Kluyveromyces lactis: one gene and its partners. The protein of the gene in region 2 interacts with the protein of the main gene of each other region in a pairwise test. Links are inferred from orthologs where the notes say so. Each region holds a gene or a part of one and is shown on either strand. Other genes may lie near its edges.

Region 1 (6,380 bases), on a different chromosome or scaffold from region 2:
TGATTGCGTTGGTACTATTTGTCTATAGGAAATTTATCGGAATTCTCATAACTTTTTTCTATAGCTTTGAGGTACTCGTTATGTTTATGGTACTGCCTGTTCAAATATAGGTATTTAGCGTTCCAATTGTCCATTATTAGATCAAAATTCGGATTATGCGTCCAAATCTTGATTAACGCTGGTTTTATATCATTGTGTTCGTTTATCCATTCTGCCAATTTTGTAACAAAAATTTTCCAATGTAGCAGCTGTGAATCCATGTTTAATTTACCTGATTCTTCGACGTTGAAGTTGGTGTACAAGGAATCCAATCCATACAAGGGTTCCCAGTGGAAAACTTTAATTTTTGGGTTCACTTTGAAGCTGTTAGGGTCTTCTTGGTACTCAGACAGTATTCTTCCAGACCATCCATATTCTTGATTAGATACCATTTCAAATTGCGAATCCGGAATGGGTGTAATCCTACTGGCCCAGAAATTTATGCAATCCACGAAGGTTTCACATTGCTTGGAAGATGAACATTCAAATATCAGACTCTTGTGATGCTGATCATCGGCAAATTCAACTTGGAAACATTTCGGTTTTGATGCACCCGTATGATCAATGATTGTTTCTCCAATGAGCTCCGCAAATGCACCAAATAGATTAAATCTTTGGATAATAGAAGTTCCAAAAATGCCATTCGGTCCAGTCAGTGATCTTGCAGAAAGTTTGTTCTTACTTTTTGTTAAATGAAGTTCAAGCGATCCTTTTTGAACTGTTACTCTAGCTCTGTGCATCTTTCTGTTCGCATTTTCCATTCTTTGTTGTTGATGAGTTAGGTTATTACCTCTTCTGAAAAGTTTCATTATCCCGTGAGTTGCGCTATCGCATGGTTCTGATATAGAATGAGTAGACTTGTTGACCTTAAAGTTTAAAGTGTGGTCTACCAACCATAAAGAGTCATTTTGTTTACCGAATATATCATCTTCATGCTGATGAACATAGAAATCGGTTGCATTTACGTGTTGAGACCATTCTGATTGAGAAGACAGTACCGACTGTGATGTGGTAGTCTTTTCCAAAAGCGAACTTGCTGGTCTTAAAGAGAAAAGCGAAGTCTTACGGGATACGCTAAAAGACACACGTTCATTGGGAGAGGGATTCATGGAAGAATGATTCATAGAAGGAGAATCATTTGAGGTTGAAGAATAATCATTCTTGTTGCTGACTTCTTTGAAAGTCCTCGGTTGGCACAAGGGAAATGGAATGTCCAGAATTTGGTTATAATAACCACGTAAATCATCCTTTATGAGTTTCTCATCTAGCTGCATATCTTTCAGTTCATATCTGATAGCATAGATGGTATTCTCAATGAATTGATCCACTGTAAATTTGTAGTCGAAAGACTCATTGTGTAAATCAGAATTGAGGATCAACAGAGAGAACAAAATGATGTGACAGACCCTATAGTTCCCCTGAAAGTGTGAGACCTTGTCCTTATGTTCATCGGTCCATTGAGCAGCAAGTTCTTCTAAAATATTGTCTAGCGGAGTAGCTTCTGCGATCAAATAAAGACCATGGGATAGCTTTGATAGAGTAAGATACAACGAAGTCGGCCAAGGTCTCAAAAGGTTCAAAAATTCCGTTAGTACGCGCTTATTCTCCTTTGCACCTAACCAATTCGCATACTGTGTATATTCCAAGGGCCGGTAAGTCTGTTTCAGCATCTGGTCAGCCGTTTGTAGATCTGCATCGTTAATAAACGCATGGATATTCGTCATCTTCGGAGATTCCACTATTGGTGGATCGGACTGTTCATTGCCTACCATCAATCTGTTATGATTCTGGTTCTTATTAGGAGTTATAAACGCACCCATCGATGGCAATTATGGCAATTTTCTGTATGTGATTCTATCCCTACACTATGTATAATCCTCTGCTTAAAGCCCTTTGACATACGCAAAACACCTTTCAATTCTTCTCTATCCAAGGTAGAAGCCAAGGTTCAAGCGGTCAGCGAAGAATTCAAGGATTCCCCCACAAAAAAATATCCGAGACAGAAAGGCTGAACTTATTAATAAGACGTTCTTGAGAACTTGGCGATCAAATCTATCGCTGTTTAATAGTGCCTGATGTAACGGTTGGCCATTTTAAAATTCCTTTTAAGATTTCATTTTGGCAACAATTTCGATATTTCTTTTCATATTATTGCCTAATTCTGATATAAAAGTAAAGCCGCTAAGAAAAGCCGCTAAGGAAAGACGCAGTGAGACAAAGATCAACATCTATTGTACATGATAACACTGCAAGTAATATGGCTTTCTACAAACATATATGGCTCACTACTTTATATTTATCAGTACTATGTAGAAAAGATGGAAGACAGAACAAGCAATGCACTGCATGTGTTACACTTAAACCTTTCGAACTCAGTTCCGGTGATGGTCATGATGGGGAGGACCATGATGAGATAATCTTTCTTGATCCACCACCCACCGCAATATGACATGTGACTGAAGAGTCACGTGCCATGTAAATAAACACTCTTCAGGGACTGTTTACCATTTTAATTTGTTTTGGTTTGAAATTTGAATAAAAAAAACAAAACACCAAAACACGAAAAAGGCTATATAATTTAATTATTAATTACATTACATGAGACATCATTAATCAATTACGTTCACTTTTCTTGGGAGAAGCAGTTTTCTATCCTAGTTGTGAAAGGGTATTGTAGTGGTTATAAGGTCGCTTGAACCAGGCTAAATTGACTCCACAGAATTAGAAATGTCACAGGTGGAAGAAGTTCAGACTACTCAGGGCCATTCTCAGTTGATGGTCTCACGAACCGAAGAACAGATGGAAGATGTTCAGCAAAGAATTCAGGAAACGGATTTTATGGCTGAAGAAGACGATGTGGCTCTAGCCGCCTTTGTCCCAATAGAGAAATTGCAGGTGAACGGTATCACTTCTGGTGATATCAAGAAACTAAGAGAAAGTGGGTTACACACAGCGGAGGCGGTGGCATATGCCCCCAGAAAAGATTTAATGGAGATTAAAGGTATATCAGAGGCTAAAGCTGATAAGTTACTCGCTGAAGCGTCGAGACTAGTGCCTATGGGTTTTGTCACTGCGGCTGATTTTCATTTGCGTAGAAACGAAATGATCTGTTTAACTACTGGATCGAAAAATCTTGATACTCTACTTGGCGGAGGGATAGAAACCGGATCTATCACTGAACTGTTTGGTGAGTTTAGAACTGGTAAATCGCAACTTTGCCATACATTGGCTGTCACATGCCAGATACCTTTGGATATGGGAGGCGGTGAAGGCAAGTGTTTGTACATTGATACGGAGGGTACATTCAGACCGATTAGGTTGGTTTCGATTGCGCAGAGGTTCGGTTTGGACCCTGACGATGCTTTAAATAACGTTGCATATGCAAGAGCTTATAACGCAGACCATCAATTGAAATTGTTGGACGCAGCTGCACAGATGATGAGTGAGTCAAGATTTTCGCTGATTATTGTCGATTCTATTATGGCATTGTACAGAACCGACTTCTCGGGACGTGGTGAGTTAAGTGCAAGACAGATGCACCTTGCCAAGTTCATGAGATCATTACAAAGACTAGCTGATCAGTTTGGTGTCGCAGCGGTAGTGACAAATCAGGTTGTGGCCCAAGTTGACGGAGGAATGATGTTTAACCCTGATCCAAAAAAACCGATTGGTGGTAATATCATGGCTCATTCCTCCACTACTCGTCTTGGATTCAAGAAGGGGAAAGGTCCACAGAGATACTGTAAAGTGGTAGACTCACCATGTTTGCCTGAAGCAGAATGTGTGTTTGCGATCTACGAGGATGGTATCGGAGATCCAAGGGAAGACGATGATTGATCTGATTCTCTTTACCTGGTTATTCATAACACCAAAAAAAAAAGAATAAAAAGAAAAATCCACATTTTTAATATAGCATTCAATTTCCTACGTTGCTAGTAAAACCCCACTGCGTATCTATCTTCTCATTTATTTGTTCATATCATTCGTGTTATAAATAGTCCATAGGGCACGTTATTCTATATGTATATTCATGCAAACCCTCTCTAGTTGTTAAATGCTCGCATAAAACGCATATAATTCCCTCAGCGAAAAGGGACGACTATCCTTTCATTTAAGGGACTTGCATATCATAGCTACAAACACTTCTCCATGTCAGTGTGCTATTAATAGGCTTGACTTCTTTTAATATTCTTTACCTCATCACACCGGAATTCCGAACGTCAACAATCTGAAGCGAAATTTTTGGAAATTTCACCATTTCCACATATAGACAAGAAAGAGTAATTTTGCATTTCTATATAAAACACGTTAACTTTGTAAAACAAAGGTTTGCGAGAGAACATATTCTGGCAAGAAACAGGAGGGACAGAGCGGAGAAGCGTGCTACCGATATATTAGACTTGTCACTAGGCACTCTGTTATTTGGGGTTTTAAGTACGACTCTTTTTTGATAATTTTTTTGACCGATTCTCGTGATATAATTGATAAATCGAACGTTACAAATGGCAGCATCAGCCTCGCATGTCCATCCATACGCACAGCATTTAGCTGAACTGAATCCTATGGTGGTTGACATCCCTGAACTTGAAGTTAGTGGTAATGTTTCTTCTGCTGACTTTAAAGCCGATGATGAGGAACCTAGGGCTTTGTCCGGTTTGAGCTCGCCTAGTTTTACAGTAACCGGAGAAAAGTACGCGAATTTACGTTCAAATAATAACACACCTCCAAATGAGACACCTGAGTATATCAGGAAACATAAGAGATCTGAATCGAGCAATGGGAATATGTCTGTGAATTCTATACCTTCTAGCGGTTCTAGAGGCTCAGATAGACGGGTAAAGTCCGTTGTTTCTTTTAGTTCAAATGCGGAGAATCCGAACAGAAGATCAAGATCCGTAGATCTTTCACATTTATACCTCGGTGGTGAAAGGGACATACGATTCACGTCCACGAATGAACTTGTGGCAGATGAGTCTCACAAGAGAATTAGCACATATTTAGGTAATGATTCGGCTGCCTCGTTACTATCTCGTCAGAAAACCATCGAAATGTACAAACAAAATGTTAAGAAATCGAAGAACCCGGATGTCTTGTTCCAGTACAGTCAGTACATGTTACAAACTGCATTAACTATGAACCCCACCGAATTTGATGACAAAAAAAATGAAGACGGGTTAACCGTGGAAGAGCAGAGACAGCAATTCTTGAAAGAAGCATTACATTATCTTAAGAAATTGAGCGTTAAAGGTTACAAAGATGCACAATATTTACTCGCAGATTCTTACTCTAGTGGTGTCTTTGGGAAAGTGAATCAAAAAGAAGCATTCTCTCTTTTCCAAGCATCTGCAAAACATGGGCACGTCGAAGCAGCTTATAGAACATCGGTATGTTTTGAGGAAGGGATAGGTACTACCAGGGATTCTCGTAAGTGCATCGAATTTTTGAAGTTTGCTGCATCCAGAAACCATCCAGCTGCCATGTTTAAACTTGGGGTGTACGCATTTTACGCTAAGATGGGTCTTTCAGACGATCTCAATACGAAGAAGAACGGTTTGAAATGGTTGTCTCGTGCGGCTGCAAAAGCCAACAGGTTGACTTGTGCGGCTCCGTATGAGATGGCGAAGATTTATGACACTGGTTTCCTTGATATCTTGATTGCCGATAGAAAATATGCTATGGAACTTTACATACAAGCCGCATCATTGGGACATACGCCATCTGCGACTCATTTGGGGAGAATATACGAAGTTGGTAACGAAGTAGTTCCACAGGATACACTTCTTAGTGTAAATTATTATACAATTGCATCACACGGTGGGGATCCAGAGGCTATGATGGGGTTATGTGCATGGTATCTAATCGGAGCTAAGCCTGCGTTTGTTGCCGATGACAATGAAGCATTTGAATGGGCGCTGAGGGCGGCCAAGTTAGGTTATCCGAAGGCTCAATTCACAGTTGGATATTTCTATGAAAAGGGGAAAGGATGTGAACCAAACACTGAAAATGCTATGAAATGGTATCAGTTAGCTGCTGATAACAAGGATCCGAGAGCCTTGAACAAACTGAAGATTAAAGATCGTTCCTCAAGAAAGTCGAAGAGTTTAAGTACATTTAATTTCAATTTCTTACTGGACAACAATGAAGAAAAGGGTAAAAGAAAATCGTTCCATCTGAATTTGGACCAAGATGATAAGCCGGGAACTTTTGTTGATATGGAGCAAAATCTGACGGATCCATCTAAGAAAAATAAGCGGAACAATTCGATACCCGTTGAACAACTGCAGCATCCACAACAAGAAACCCCAAGCACATTGTCTGCTTCACTACAAAAGCAGTCTGCG
Region 2 (6,949 bases):
GCTTCAGGTAACTCCCCGTCGTCATCCATATGGGAGAAAACCCATTCTACACTGGCATTGACGTCACCATTCTTCAATATCAAAGCTTTGCGGCATAGTTTCGAATCAAGCCCCATAGCAGTCATACTGTTTAGTGCTTCTGAATCGACACGATTTTTCGCTGAGGATGAAGCATGAGGATCAAAGGCCTCGTTTAAGTTAGGGTCCTCCATATGCTGGAACAACCATTCCGTGGCTGCATTAGGGTCAGAGTTTCCCGTTTCAAATAATGCTCTTTTGGTAGCATTGCGAGAGAATCCCATCTGTTCTAATTGTCCTAGGAACAATTCGTTGAATTGGAAGGAATCTGATTCCTCTTCTTCTTCGACTTCTTCCCCTTCGCAAATTCCTGTAGCTTTGAATGGGGACATATCTAGTAAAGCATCATCGCGTACACCAGGTACCACAACTTGCTCTGATGTCTTGCTTGGCTGCCAGTTGATTAACTCAATTCTAATCGGGTTTATGATAAGTGTACGTGGGAAACTAGAGAACCCTGGTACTTTTGATGCAGTGTTAATTTTCTTATTGGTGAGACAACGGTATTCAATTTTTTCCCCACTGAAGTAATCATTTAACCTGTCAATTAGATTTTGCTCCCCGTCTAGTTTTCTTAATGGAAGCTGAATGACTTCTGAAACTTGATCCATGAACTTAACTTTGTTACAATTGTCACATTTAATCTTGTCTTGAATGTTGAATCTAAACAAATCGTTTGGATTGGTAGTAGTATTTTTAAATATCTCTCTATCCAATTTATCAGAGAGATAGGAAAAAAATTCCAAGGAATCTTGCTGTCTTCCAGAGGAAAATTCTTCATGCGAGCCCCCAATAACCTTTTTGAAAGTGGTGGGTTTAATACCCTCAGGATATCTGGATTGCTGTAAGGTCATAGCATTTCTGATTTTGATTAGTTGACAGTGTAAATTCGTTCTTGGATAGACGACATCTGTAGGAAAGGATCCTAATCCATCTAGGTTCCAATTTCTGATCCCACCGTTAAGTAAAACTTGCAATACAGAATTTAGGTAGCAAGAATTGCCCAAATTTAATAAGCCCAAACCGTATTCAGGACCATTTTGTAGATGTTTTAAACTTTTACCTTGTGAATCTACCATTTGAAAATCCCATTTCAGACTTTGTTCCACTTGCAATTCCACCAATGTCTTTTCTTTGGACTTGGCTGGTACTTCGACTTCCCAAAACTTCAAGATATCCTGCAACTGCAGATTATGGGTGAATTTCACATCTTCATCACAAGAATAACAGTATATATCAGCTGCATCAGCTGTCAAAGAGCCCAATTTTATCGCTAAAGCGTGGCCATCTGTGCTTTCATAATGTTTCAAAGCATGAGAGTACCCCTCTATCCCAACCTGCTCTCTTCCACAGGCGACGTTTCCACAATGGAGACATAACCAAAGGTTAGAAGTAAGACCACAGTCGTTACAGCTTTGAGAAATGCCACCTTCTCGCTTCTCCAAGTTCGATAAGTCGAAAGTCTGTATGTGTGGACATGACTTTAATTCAAGTGTCCAGGTATTTGACATATCTTGATATGATGAGGATTTTGTTTGCAAGATTTCACTAATTTTGTCACTCCATTCCTTAGGAATAGATGGAGTGTCTGAAGATAACAATTCTCCATGTTCCACAGATCCAAGCAGCCAGTGGGTATCATATAGATCATCCTCATTCACATCCTTAACCTCAAGCTTTAATTTCTTTTCCAATGGTGGCGTGCCAGCTTCTTCTCGCTCTTGTTTTGGTTTTAGAACCTTGAATACTCTGAGATACAGATCATGGGTAGAACCAGTCTCACTCAAAACAACCTCTTGATGTAGTTCCCAATGCTCTTCGGAGAAAGACTGAAAGCAGCGTAGACAGATGAATAATGAATGTTCACGACCCTCATCTTTATTCTTCATCGTTTCAAAACAATAAACACAGTCATCTGTATCAATGACCCTGGGTACATTGATATCAAGGATATCAGAACCAGACATCTTTAATTTGAAGGCAGATATGATGCGTTGTGGAGCTTTGTTCTTATATATTGATGTTCTATTTCTTGCACACTCATTTTAAAGGATCAAACTCCAGTAATTTCAAATTTTAAACCATGCCGTAATTATGGAAAATATAACAAAGAATTAGGTAGATGAACGAGTTTTAAAGTAGAACGCATCAATTAGAGCTGTATTTAACTTATGGCACCCTTATGTACTGCCGAAGAACAATGCCATTCTAAGAGAGGATAATGAAATTTATTGCGTGTAGGTTAATCGTAAGTGTATTTACAAGTGTTCGATGTACTATATAATCGAAATGTATAGTTTTTATAGTTTAGCAGAGGAAGTTTTCCATCTTAAGAAACCATCTGGGTTTGGAACACATTTTCTGTCAATAATAAAACCTACCAAGTAGTCTACGCCGGTCTTACTCTTCGTGGCGGGGTTCAATTGTTGGAAGAATTTGACAGCTTCCTTCTTAGTAACTGCAGTTTGTCTTCCATGGTTGTCAGCACCTGTGATATATTTCTCAACTAGAGTTTCGTTTGGTAATTGGTACTTGCTATGATGTGGGTATTCAGAGAAAGTAACTAAATTTGATGGGCGGATCAACGACACCGGGTTTGAGGAGTTTTGTGAGATTAGAACTGATATTTGGGCTAATTTCAAATCTTTGATCTTCCATTGGTATGGGGTCTTGTTCTTTTCTAGCAATTTATGACTAGTGGCCTCAGCAAATTCACATAGGTCCGGAGATTCTGACATTTTAGTAGCAGTGATCAAATCTTGGGTCAAGGCGGTTTGAATGTCAGTGAAGGAGTTTCTTTGGAAAAGTTCTTTTGCGATTTCCAAAGAAACAGGGGATTTGCTAGCTAGCATTTGCTTGGTCTTTGCAGCAAACTCCTGAGCTGTTTGTGATACTGTCTTTCCAGCAATGACCTCATCCAATTTGGAGTAGATTTGCTTCAAACTGTTACCGATATCGAAACACTGTTCAATGACGTTTAGTTCATCAGCAGTGTACTTGAACTTGTAGTCTCTTGGTAATGGTGCGTTGAATTCCTCAATAGCATGGTTGACAACATCGAAAATTTCATCATCACGGTTAGTCGATTGAGAAGTGGCTTCAGTCAAATGTAACTCAGCCAATCTTGCCTGTAAGTTGGAGATCTGATCATGTGGCACATAATGAGAAGCGACACCAGCCACGTAAGCATCGGCACCATTCAAAATGTCACCAGTCATGCACAAGTACTGAGCCAATTGTCCGTTGGAACCACCAACAGTGGTAAGCTTTGGAATAGAGAAAGTGGCACCGACATCTGGGAAGAATCCAATATCCATCTCAGGCATGGCCCAACGAGTATTTTCAGTAGCAATACGGAATGGAATATGAGTAGATAGACCGACACCACCACCCATGGTGATACCGTCCATGATAGAGATGACCGGCTTGTTCAGCGTAGCTAGAGCCAAGTTTAACGAGTATTCCTTGGTGAAAAATTCTCTAGCGTAATCAAAATTTCCTTCCTTAACCAACTTGGCTACTTGAGCTACATCGCCACCTGAACAGAAGGCCCTAGGACTAGCTGAAGAGTTCAAGATAACAACATTGTTAACGGTACTCTTGGCATATTCTTGCAATGTGGGCAAGATGGCACTGCACATCTCAACATCCAATGCGTTCAATTTCTTTGGTCTATCCAAAGTGACCACTCTGGCAGTGGAATCGACTCTAAACTTAACTTCAGACATAAATCTTAATTGATTAACAGCCAATCTGGTCTTCAAAACGTGTCTCAATGACTGTTGCTGTGCTCTACAATAGGAATGCCTCAACATTATGGAATGCTATGGTAAAAATGGGTATAATAGATGATGTTGATAACCCGCCAGGATATTATAAGACGCTGTAGATCTCGGTATATATAGATATATTTGGTCAAAGATATCAACGTAAGTTAAGTATGCAGCAATTAAAGGGAGACTGCTACCATTCTTCTGTTCTCGTCAAGTTCGTTCCACTCAATGTTCAGGTTCAAATTTGTTTCAGCAGATGGAGAATAGTGAGTGACCAAAAAAAAAAAGCTACTACGATTGTTGAACAATTTCAGTACCTAATGGATTGAGCAATTCTCCAACTTGAAAGGGGATAATAAGACAAGATAGCCAAACTGCGAAGCAATTTAAGGTCGGTAGCAAAGGGGGTACAGAACTTATGTACGCGTATAATTGCATTCATCCGGGGTGGAAGCAAATCCTGTATAAGATTGAACCATAATCTTGCAGCGGTTTGTCACATCGTTTGACATTTGAAATGATTTAGAGTATGTCAGGATTGGATCGAAATATATCAGTTTTGCATATTTAATGGTTAAACAGATATTGGTGGGGCCCTTGGTACCACCAACCCTGTGTCTGATGTTAGAACAGGGCGTTCCCTCTCTGTGTCTTTGTTTCACGTGACCGTACTTTTTCCCATTTCCCTTAAAGCGTAATGAAAAATTTCTTTCTATCGCTCGAGAGCACACGGAACAGCAACATCTCATCGCATGGTTTTTGTTCGTTTAAAGATATATTGTAATTCCAATTACAGATTTCTTTCTAAGTATAAACCACATTTCTTAGCAGGCTTTGCTTGCGTTTAGGTTTGTGTATGTGTTTGAATTTATCACATCATAAGATCAGTTCTTTTTCGGGATTTAAGGATTTTAGATTTTAAATTTTAAAAGCTTAAGTTCTTTTAAATAGTCACGCATAAACATAGGATTTATACCTGATCCAACTGGTGTGGTTACATTGAGAATATCAGTATCAAACTCAATAATAAGATTCTAGGCAGGCTTGGAATCAAGGATCAAGAACTGTATTTTTGTCAAGCGTGTTTCCGGTTCCTGTTTTTTTATCGGCATTGTTTTACTTTCAAGTTTTGATATAGCATCGGAATCGCTATCTTAACAAGAAGAGAGCTTCATTAAGACCCTTAGACATGACAATTGTTCATAGAGATTTGAAAGTCTCTGAGAAATTTGTCGACGTTCCAAGTGCAGATGAGGATTTTAAAGTTCTTGATAACTTCTACTGGTCCGCACATAAAGAACCCCATGCTATAAGAAGACATGCCATAATTAAGAAACATCCAGAAGTGCAGCGACTTATGGGCCACGAACCTTTGACTAAATGGATTATCATTGGTGTTGTGTCGCTTCAGTTATCGCTTTCCTATTACTTAAGAAATACCCATCCTTTTACTTGGAAATTTTTCATCATTGCATATGTCATCGGTGCTACCGCTAACCAGAATATCTTCTTGGCAATCCATGAATTGTCTCACAACCTAGCATTTAAGAAACCTGTCCACAACAAGTTGTTTGCCATTTTCACAAATACCCCAATTGGTATCCCATACAGTGCGTCATTTGGACCATATCATCAATTGCATCACAAGTTTCTTGGAGATGAAATTTATGACACGGATATCCCTACCAGGTTTGAGGCTGTGCTTTTATCCAATATCTTGGGGAAATCGTTCTTTGCCACATTCCAAATCTTCTTCTACGCATTTAGACCTATGTTTGTCACAAGGATCAAATTCACCTACATCCACCTTTTGAACGTGTTGTACCAATTTATGTTCAATTTTATATGGATCGCGAATTTTGGTTGGTATTCATACTGTTATTTCCTGATGTCCTCATTCTTAGCCGGTTCTCTACATCCATGCTCTGGCCATTTCATTGCAGAACACTATCTGTTGAACATTGAAGAAGCTATCATCGGTGGTAAACTGATGCTAAAATTAACGCCAGCCGAAAGACAACCAATTAACGTCACTGATGAATCAAACGTCTCAAGAGAAGACGTCGAATTCAGGAAAAAGTACGCATTGGAGACGTATTCTTATTATGGGCTTCTAAACTTCTTCACTTGGAATGTCGGTTTACACAATGAACATCATGATTTCCCATTTGTTGCTTGGTCCCGACTTTGGGAATTGAACAGTTTATGTCCGGAATTTTATAATCATCTGCCAAAGCACTCCTCCTGGTGTAAAGTCTTGTACGATTTTATTACCCACGATGATGTCGTATTATACAATAGAGTGAAAAGAGTTAATAAAGAGTTCGAACAAAGCAAGGCTTAACTCATGCTTCCTGGGTGATTCTCGTAGACATATTATAAAAACATCAAAAACAAACACAAGAGAACCGGGAAAACGGCTCCTGATATGAAGTCATGATCACCTGCGAAATAACCGTGATACATTTCTAAATATTTATCCGTTTTTATAGATTATATAGCCCATACTTTCTAAACAAATTTACTCTTGTCGAACCTTCAGGACTTGTCTAAAAGGGAGTGTGATAAGAAATGGTTTGCTTCAATTTAATGACAATTTTTTTGTCATGGATATGTGTTGATTGGATTAGAGATCGGAGTTTTCGTTGATAACGAATGCGCTAAAAAAGGTCTTGCTCCCTCTTTCTCTGTATGCTAATGTTTCGATTGAGAAACTTTGAATTTCGAGTTTCATAGGAAAATGTACTTCAATAAACCAAATAAGCTCAGGCTGACTACAACCAGAAATATAGTGTGTAAACAAAATGCATCAAGTGAAGTCATTAAATAAAAGGGAAGATGGATATAATAAACCCAGTATAGATTCTTCACGAAATCAGCCAACTTTTCTCCTATGCCACCACGCGACATCTGCTGATTAGTCGGTGTGTAAATCATAGTCCCTCGAGACTTCTTGTATGGTTCATAAATCTTTTCTGCAGCCATTGTCTACCTTTTTCTTATCTTCAGCGTATTCCCTTCTATAAGTCAAAATTGACTCCAGTGTAGTTTAGTTCAATGTTACAATCGCCTTCTTACAGGATATCGTTTACTGATCA
Region 3 (6,641 bases), about 150 kb from region 2:
ACTAAACCAAAAAAAAAAAAACGCCAACAGTGAGAACGGGCTTTACAACGGACTTTTACAGTGGGTTCTAAAAGAGGTAAAAACTAGCCCGTAGCCAGCAGACTGGTATTTTGATTACCTGTCTTAGCGTTGACTGGTTGCTTATTCTACTAGACCGCGTGGTAGCAGACAATAATGGGAGAATACGACTCGTTTTTGCCCCTTTCGTAGTCAATCCTCTCAGTTCCTCTTCCTCGAAAGTAGAAACGCAGCAACTTTCTCATTGGCGAGTATTTTGGTTTTTGTTTTTTTGTTTCGGTTTCCACGTATAATGAGTGGAGTTTTCGGTTTGTTGAACCGTGTTTGCTTTGCTAGTAGAAACTTACCAAATTTTGAAAAAAATTTGACAGGCTAAGGCTAGCTTACCTGAGGCTAGCTAGGGTAAGCAAGATTTTGCTAGGATTTCCACCTATGGCGGATTTCTCGTTCTACTCCGTAGTGCTTACATTTCTGAGTCGTTAACAGCGCTTGCCCTCAAATCTAAAAAATCTAGAAAAAGAGTTCCTAGACTAATTTGGATAAATAGTAGGATTCGTTGCTCTACCTACTCCTCTGCCTCCCCGCCACATGGGGGTGACCGCAAAAAAAGAAAAAGACAATGCAAGAAACACCGCAGTTACGAAAATCTCAGGTTCACGAATGTGTGCTTATGCCCGTATTGCGGTGTTTTCTACGTAGCGGAAATAAATCTTGGCAAATTTATGTTCCCGTTTTACAAAGCAACGAGAATTTTATTTCACACTCTTTCTCGACTATGTTTCCAGTTTCCTATTCTAGTATATACCAGCTTACTCACCAATTATTGCTTGGTATTTTTGCCATATTTGGCGTCGGCTGGAGGCAATATTTTACTCTCGGTTTGGTTGGTTTAAGAATATACCAAGAAGTTGGCCTTTCGAAGGGATAGCTTGGGATGGCCAAGATCGCCCGTAATAACCCTTATAGTGCTCAAAGTTCAGTAATAGGCAAATAACGCACGCCCGCATCGAAGATAGCTAGCAACGCATATCTATAGTAACATAGGCAAGATATTAAAAAAATCCCACTCCAGATGAGAAAAAATAAAAGATGGTCTCATTCAAGATATCAGATAGCGAGCGATATGAACTCGAAATTTTTCAGGTAGAACTGAGGGGGAGATTATTTTCTACGAGCAATTTTCTACGCAATACTACAAGGCAATAGAATCCACGAAAAAATTACGTAGTTGCTGCGGACTCTTTTTGTTTTGATTTCCGTTGTTTTGGTTTTATAGTTTTGCGTAATCTTCTATATTTGGTACCCTGTAAAAAGGTTCTAGACTTTGGGCATTTCACTCTTTAATCAGATTCGTTCCCCTTTGTCTGCTTGCTTCTGCAAGATGGTGTGCTTTGTTTACCCTGTGCGATCGCGTTTCAAGGGTTCCATGATAGGGCTTTAAAGGCGCTAATCACAAATCTCAAGTATATCGTCGTATTCCAGAGTCGCGGGTTCGACTCATGTTGAGTGTAAGTCAGATCAGTCACCAGTAGAGAAGGATGTCATGGCTTGATTTGTAAATAGACCCTGGAAACGCCGATAGTAGGTTACAAACTACGACAGAGCGTCAAGGGCGCGGCCGGTGGGTTTTACCTACTGCAAATCATCTCACGGTTCGTCCATTTTTTCTATTCCATGCCTAGAAAACCAAGAGGTGTGATTTCCCGGGTAACATCAAGTTACTAATCCGTTTCTATGCATCTATTACCCTGTCTCGTAAGTTTTCTTATCAGATCACGTTGTATGTAAGTAGGCGGTTTCAAACCATACTTTATTCAAATTGATGTCTGTCCAAAAACTGTCATTTCGACTTACAAAGAAACTTTAAATGAGGAAATGTATAATTATTGATCAAGAAGTACCTTTAACGTTTATGGTCACCAGTATTAATATGTAACGTCACGGTATTCACAGGTGTGCAATAATTGGGTGGTCTTCTCAAGGGTTTCTTACTTGGTTTATCACGTGATATCAGTAGAAGTATTACCCGGATGTCATGTATCATAATCCGCCACTGCCCCTCCTGTTCGCAAATCTTACTCTACATACATACATGCATACACATATAATAACCCAATCTATCAAGCCGACGTCGATCCTATCTGTCAGAGCTGTTGTTACGTCTTAAATAGGAAACAAGTACACAGGCAGTATTTCAGGGTTAATCACAGAACCAAACGGTGATAAAATCTTCGAAACAGTGTTTTATATAATTCCCACTGTGACACTTTCCCCTCCATTATCGGTGAATGGACATCGTTTTTTGCCAGGCCCTTCCTTTTTTTTTTAGTGAATTAGAACCGTTGAATTTCATATTCAAGTCGTTAAATTTAAAAAATTGAAAATTAAAGAAAACTTGATAGAAACAAAACTAGGAGACCCTTCGACAACAATTGCTATAACGTTGCTTAAGTTATCTGCCAGTTCGAGCGATCTCCCAAAGAATTAGATTCATATACGTATCCTTCGTTGAACCAAAAACTCGAGGATATCGAAGCTGGACACGTTTTTCCAATTGAAATAAAATGTCGAATGAGGAATTTATTAGGACTCAAATTTTTGGTACAGTTTTCGAAATTACCAATCGGTATACTAATTTGAACCCGGTTGGTATGGGTGCCTTCGGGTTGGTTTGTTCTGCTACAGATACGCTAACAAGCCAGCCTGTAGCGATTAAGAAGATTATGAAACCGTTTTCTACTTCCGTACTGGCAAAAAGAACGTATAGGGAACTCAAATTGTTAAAGCATCTAAGGCATGAGAATTTGATTTGTCTCGAAGATATCTTCTTGTCACCATTAGAAGATATTTATTTCGTCACTGAATTGCAAGGGACGGATCTACATAGATTGTTGCAGACAAGGCCTTTGGAAAAACAATTCGTTCAATATTTCTTATACCAGATCTTGAGGGGGCTTAAATACGTTCATTCCGCAGGTGTGATCCATAGAGATTTGAAACCTTCCAATATCTTGATCAATGAGAACTGTGATTTAAAGATCTGCGATTTCGGACTTGCTAGGATTCAAGATCCTCAAATGACTGGTTACGTGTCAACCCGTTACTATAGAGCCCCAGAAATCATGTTGACCTGGCAAAAATATAATGTTGAAGTAGACATCTGGTCTGCTGGTTGTATCTTTGCCGAAATGATCGAGGGTAAGCCTTTGTTCCCAGGTAAAGATCACGTGCATCAATTTTCTATCATCACTGATCTATTAGGATCGCCTCCAAAAGATGTCATAGACACTATTTGCTCAGAGAACACTCTCAAATTTGTTACTTCATTACCTCATAGAGATCCTGTACCATTCAGTTCGAGGTTCCAGAACTTGGAACCAGATGCTATAGATCTTCTAGAAAAAATGCTTGTGTTCGATCCAAAGAAGAGAATTACAGCAGCTGATGCCTTGGCCCATCCTTACCTTTCCCCATATCATGACCCAACCGACGAACCTATCGCAGAAGCTAAGTTTGATTGGAATTTCAACGATGCTGACTTACCTGTTGACACCTGGCGTGTAATGATGTATTCCGAGATCTTGGATTTCCATCAAATCGGTGACCCACAAATCAATACAAATGCTACTTTCGACGACCAAGTAGCCGCTGCCACTGTCGCCGCCGCGGAGGCTGCCTCTAAGCAACAGCAGCAGCAACAACACCAAACTGAAGAGCAAACTCAACAGACAATCGCCTCTACTCCTCCCCAGGCTCAAGTGACCCCACAACAACTTGAAAGTGGCGCTAACTCTAATTCCAATTCTAACCCTTCTTTCTCTATTGGCCCTGATCCAGCAAACGAAACATTGACGAATTTTGCTAATCAAGCAGACCAATACGTCTCCAAATTCAAATAAGTTCAATGTAATGAAATCTGCTTGACAGAAGTATATTCTTTTTTTGTTTTTATTTCGTATTATATAAAGCATCTTTTAATCACAGCAGAAATGTAACTATTTACACGTTTCTTACGATAAACCGAATATTATTTATAATTCTGATAGGGCATCTCAACTAGGAAACAATTGCTTAACAAAATTATTACAAAAGTACTTAAATAAACAAAATCTCTGTTATGATAATACAACTTGAGGGGGTTTCACTCCGTTAAGCCGGCTTCAAGACATAACGAATAGAAAATAGAATCCTTCTTCTGTAACAAATTCTGAGGAGTGTCGAACTCTGTTACTCTACCTTTATCCAACACTATAATTCTATCACTGTCCATAATTGTGTTAATCCTGTGAGCAATTGTTAAGATTGTTCTTTCCTTAAATGCGTTTCTAATCGTCTTTTGGATCAATTGATCCGTTTCAACATCAACAGCTGCAGTTGCTTCATCCAAAATCAAGATATTACTTGAAATCAACAAGGCACGAGCCAAGCACATCAATTGCCTTTGGCCTACACTTAAATTACTACCACCTTCAGTAAGCATGGTCTCCAAACCATTAGATCCCATACCCAGTATGTGATCCTTCAAGTGTGATAAAGCCAATGCATTCCAAATTTCTTCATCGGTATACCGATTAGTAGGATCGATGTTTTCTCTCACTGTGCCTTCAAAGATTTGAGAATCCTGCGGGATAATCGACAATCCATGTCTCAAATCAGCCAAACCTATAGAATCAATTGGGATACCATCGATCACAATATGACCAGAAGCTGCCTCGATAATTCTGAAAAGGGCAAGTGTCAAAGATGACTTTCCAGCACCTGTTCTACCAACAATACCAATTTTCTCCTTTGGGTGAATATGTAAATCAATGTCCTTCAAAATCAATTCTAGTTCTGGTCTGTAACGGGTACTGTAGTTCACAAACTTTATTTCACCTGATTCTGGCCATGATGCTGGTGGCCTATGGTCTTTAATAATATATGGTGCTTCGCTCTTCAATTCTGCATACTCTTTGATTCTTTCAACACTAACAATATTAGTTTCTACTTCCACAGTCATTCTGACAATCCAATTCAACGATTGAGTGATTTGCAAAGCAAAACTCAATGATAGACCAATCATACCAGCAGTTAGAGTTCCATTACCAAGTCTAATAACAGCCAACATAGATGCAGCCAATATGATCACGGATCCGATAAATTCAAGTCTAAATGCCAACCAACGGTTAGCATTGACACTAGGATAGAATGCGCTCATATTATTGTCAACTCTGGTTTGGTTGATATGTACAAAGCGGTTCTGTTGAGAATACCCACGGATGGTAGTCAACCCCCCTAAGGTCTCTTGGAAGTGCGCATAAATGGGTGACCTAGTAACAGAATCCAACCGACGCAATTCTCTTGAGGTTCTCAAGTAGTACTGTTGATAATAGATGTACAATACACTCAATGGTAACACAATAAAGATAAATTGCCAAGTTGCCATGCAAATAACAACGATGGTGAAAGAGACCTTAACAACATTTGCAAAGAATTGAGCAAACGTTCTACCCAAAATTTCATCTACCTTATAAATATCATTCGAAAACCTGTTTAGAATTCTTCCAATAGGAGTTGTTTCAAAGAAAGACATAGGTGCCTTTAAAACACTTGAAGCCATTGCATCATGTAAATACTTGGAGCCATGGATAGTACAGAATACCCATAGAACAATAGTCTGTATTAATGTTGCCAGAGCGGAACCAACACCTAAAGCTAAGTAAATCATCAAATATCTTGTGGCATGGGGGTTATAGCCTTTCTCAGTATTGACTTCTGACCAGTGTTTGAGCCAGAAATTACCAATGACGGCCAACAGCATCGAGAGGATTAGGAAACCCAAAAACACACACACGTTGCGGGGGTTACACGCACGGGCGTACTCCATATAAATATCCCATTTGACTTTACCTTGTTCCCTGTGTTCTCTTCTGGCGCTATTTTCATTGTCATCAAAACCAATTGAGCCTAAGGTTGCCAAAGAAGCTCTTCTTAGAGATTTTAGGTCTTCAGCTTCAGATAAGTTTTCGGTGTCCAACTGATTTATATCTACGGTAATTTCAGAGATCTTTGAGTCTGAATAAGATTCAATTCCTTCCGACGCTAATTTTGCCAAGGAAGTAGTAGATTGGGAAGGAGTTGGTTTACCCTTCTTCCCAAACTCGGCAATAAGCTTCGATAGTGGAGAGTTTGTTGACTCATTAACTTGATCATAACTTCCCTGCTGAATGATTTCGCCGTTTTCCATGAGAGTAATGGAGTCCGCAATGGAGAGAACAGTAATTTTATTTGTTGCTAACACCTTTGTTTTGGAATGCAACAAACCGTGTGGACCCAAAACGTGTTCAATCAAATGTTTAGCGACATGCTCATCTACAGCAGCGAGAGGATCGTCCAATAAGTAAGTATCAGCACGAGAATAAACGGCACGGGCTAACGATAGTCTTGCTTTTTGGCCACCAGATAAAGAAATACCTTTTTCACCAACTAAAGTCTGGTCACCATCTGGCAACATAGAGAGATCAATACTCAAAGCACACGCTTTTATAGTCAGCTGGTAAAATTCTGGATCATACTTGTGACCAAACAAGATATTATCTTTAACAGTACCATTCATAATCCATGGAACCTGTGAAACGTTGGCG

The links.
Region 1: the proteins of EHD3 (region 2) and RAD51 interact in a two-hybrid assay, tested with the Schizosaccharomyces pombe proteins (2 studies listed by BioGRID). The link is inferred for Kluyveromyces lactis from reciprocal best matches to the Schizosaccharomyces pombe genes snr1 and rad51.
Region 3: the proteins of EHD3 (region 2) and HOG1 interact in binary tests that used the Schizosaccharomyces pombe proteins (3 or more experiments, as listed by UniProt). The link is inferred for Kluyveromyces lactis from reciprocal best matches to the Schizosaccharomyces pombe genes snr1 and sty1.

Annotation. Positions count from the first base shown.
Region 1 is NC_006041.1:1,796,565-1,802,944, forward strand, and holds RAD51 (recombinase RAD51), read left to right. Parts: upstream 1-2,766; coding exon 2,767-3,876; downstream 3,877-6,380. Other genes in the region: Arf family guanine nucleotide exchange factor YEL1, read right to left, coding at 15-1,859; SHC1 (Shc1p), read left to right, coding at 4,542-6,380. UniProt on the Schizosaccharomyces pombe protein: Required both for recombination and for the repair of DNA damage caused by X-rays. Binds to single and double-stranded DNA, in the presence of magnesium, and exhibits DNA-dependent ATPase activity.
Region 2 is NC_006042.1:1,713,834-1,720,782, reverse strand, and holds EHD3 (mitochondrial 37S ribosomal protein mS47), read right to left. Parts: upstream 3,894-6,949; coding exon 2,379-3,893; downstream 1-2,378. Other genes in the region: ubiquitin-specific protease UBP14, read right to left, coding at 1-2,045; KLLA0_F18656g (sphingolipid delta(4)-desaturase family protein), read left to right, coding at 5,041-6,195; TSC3 (Tsc3p), read right to left, coding at 6,582-6,836. UniProt on the Schizosaccharomyces pombe protein: Component of the mitochondrial ribosome (mitoribosome), a dedicated translation machinery responsible for the synthesis of mitochondrial genome-encoded proteins, including at least some of the essential transmembrane subunits of the mitochondrial respiratory chain.
Region 3 is NC_006042.1:1,864,627-1,871,267, forward strand, and holds HOG1 (mitogen-activated protein kinase HOG1), read left to right. Parts: upstream 1-2,582; coding exon 2,583-3,917; downstream 3,918-6,641. Other genes in the region: ATP-binding cassette glutathione S-conjugate transporter YCF1, read right to left, coding at 4,160-6,641. UniProt on the Schizosaccharomyces pombe protein: Proline-directed serine/threonine-protein kinase involved in a signal transduction pathway that is activated by changes in the osmolarity of the extracellular environment. Controls osmotic regulation of transcription of target genes.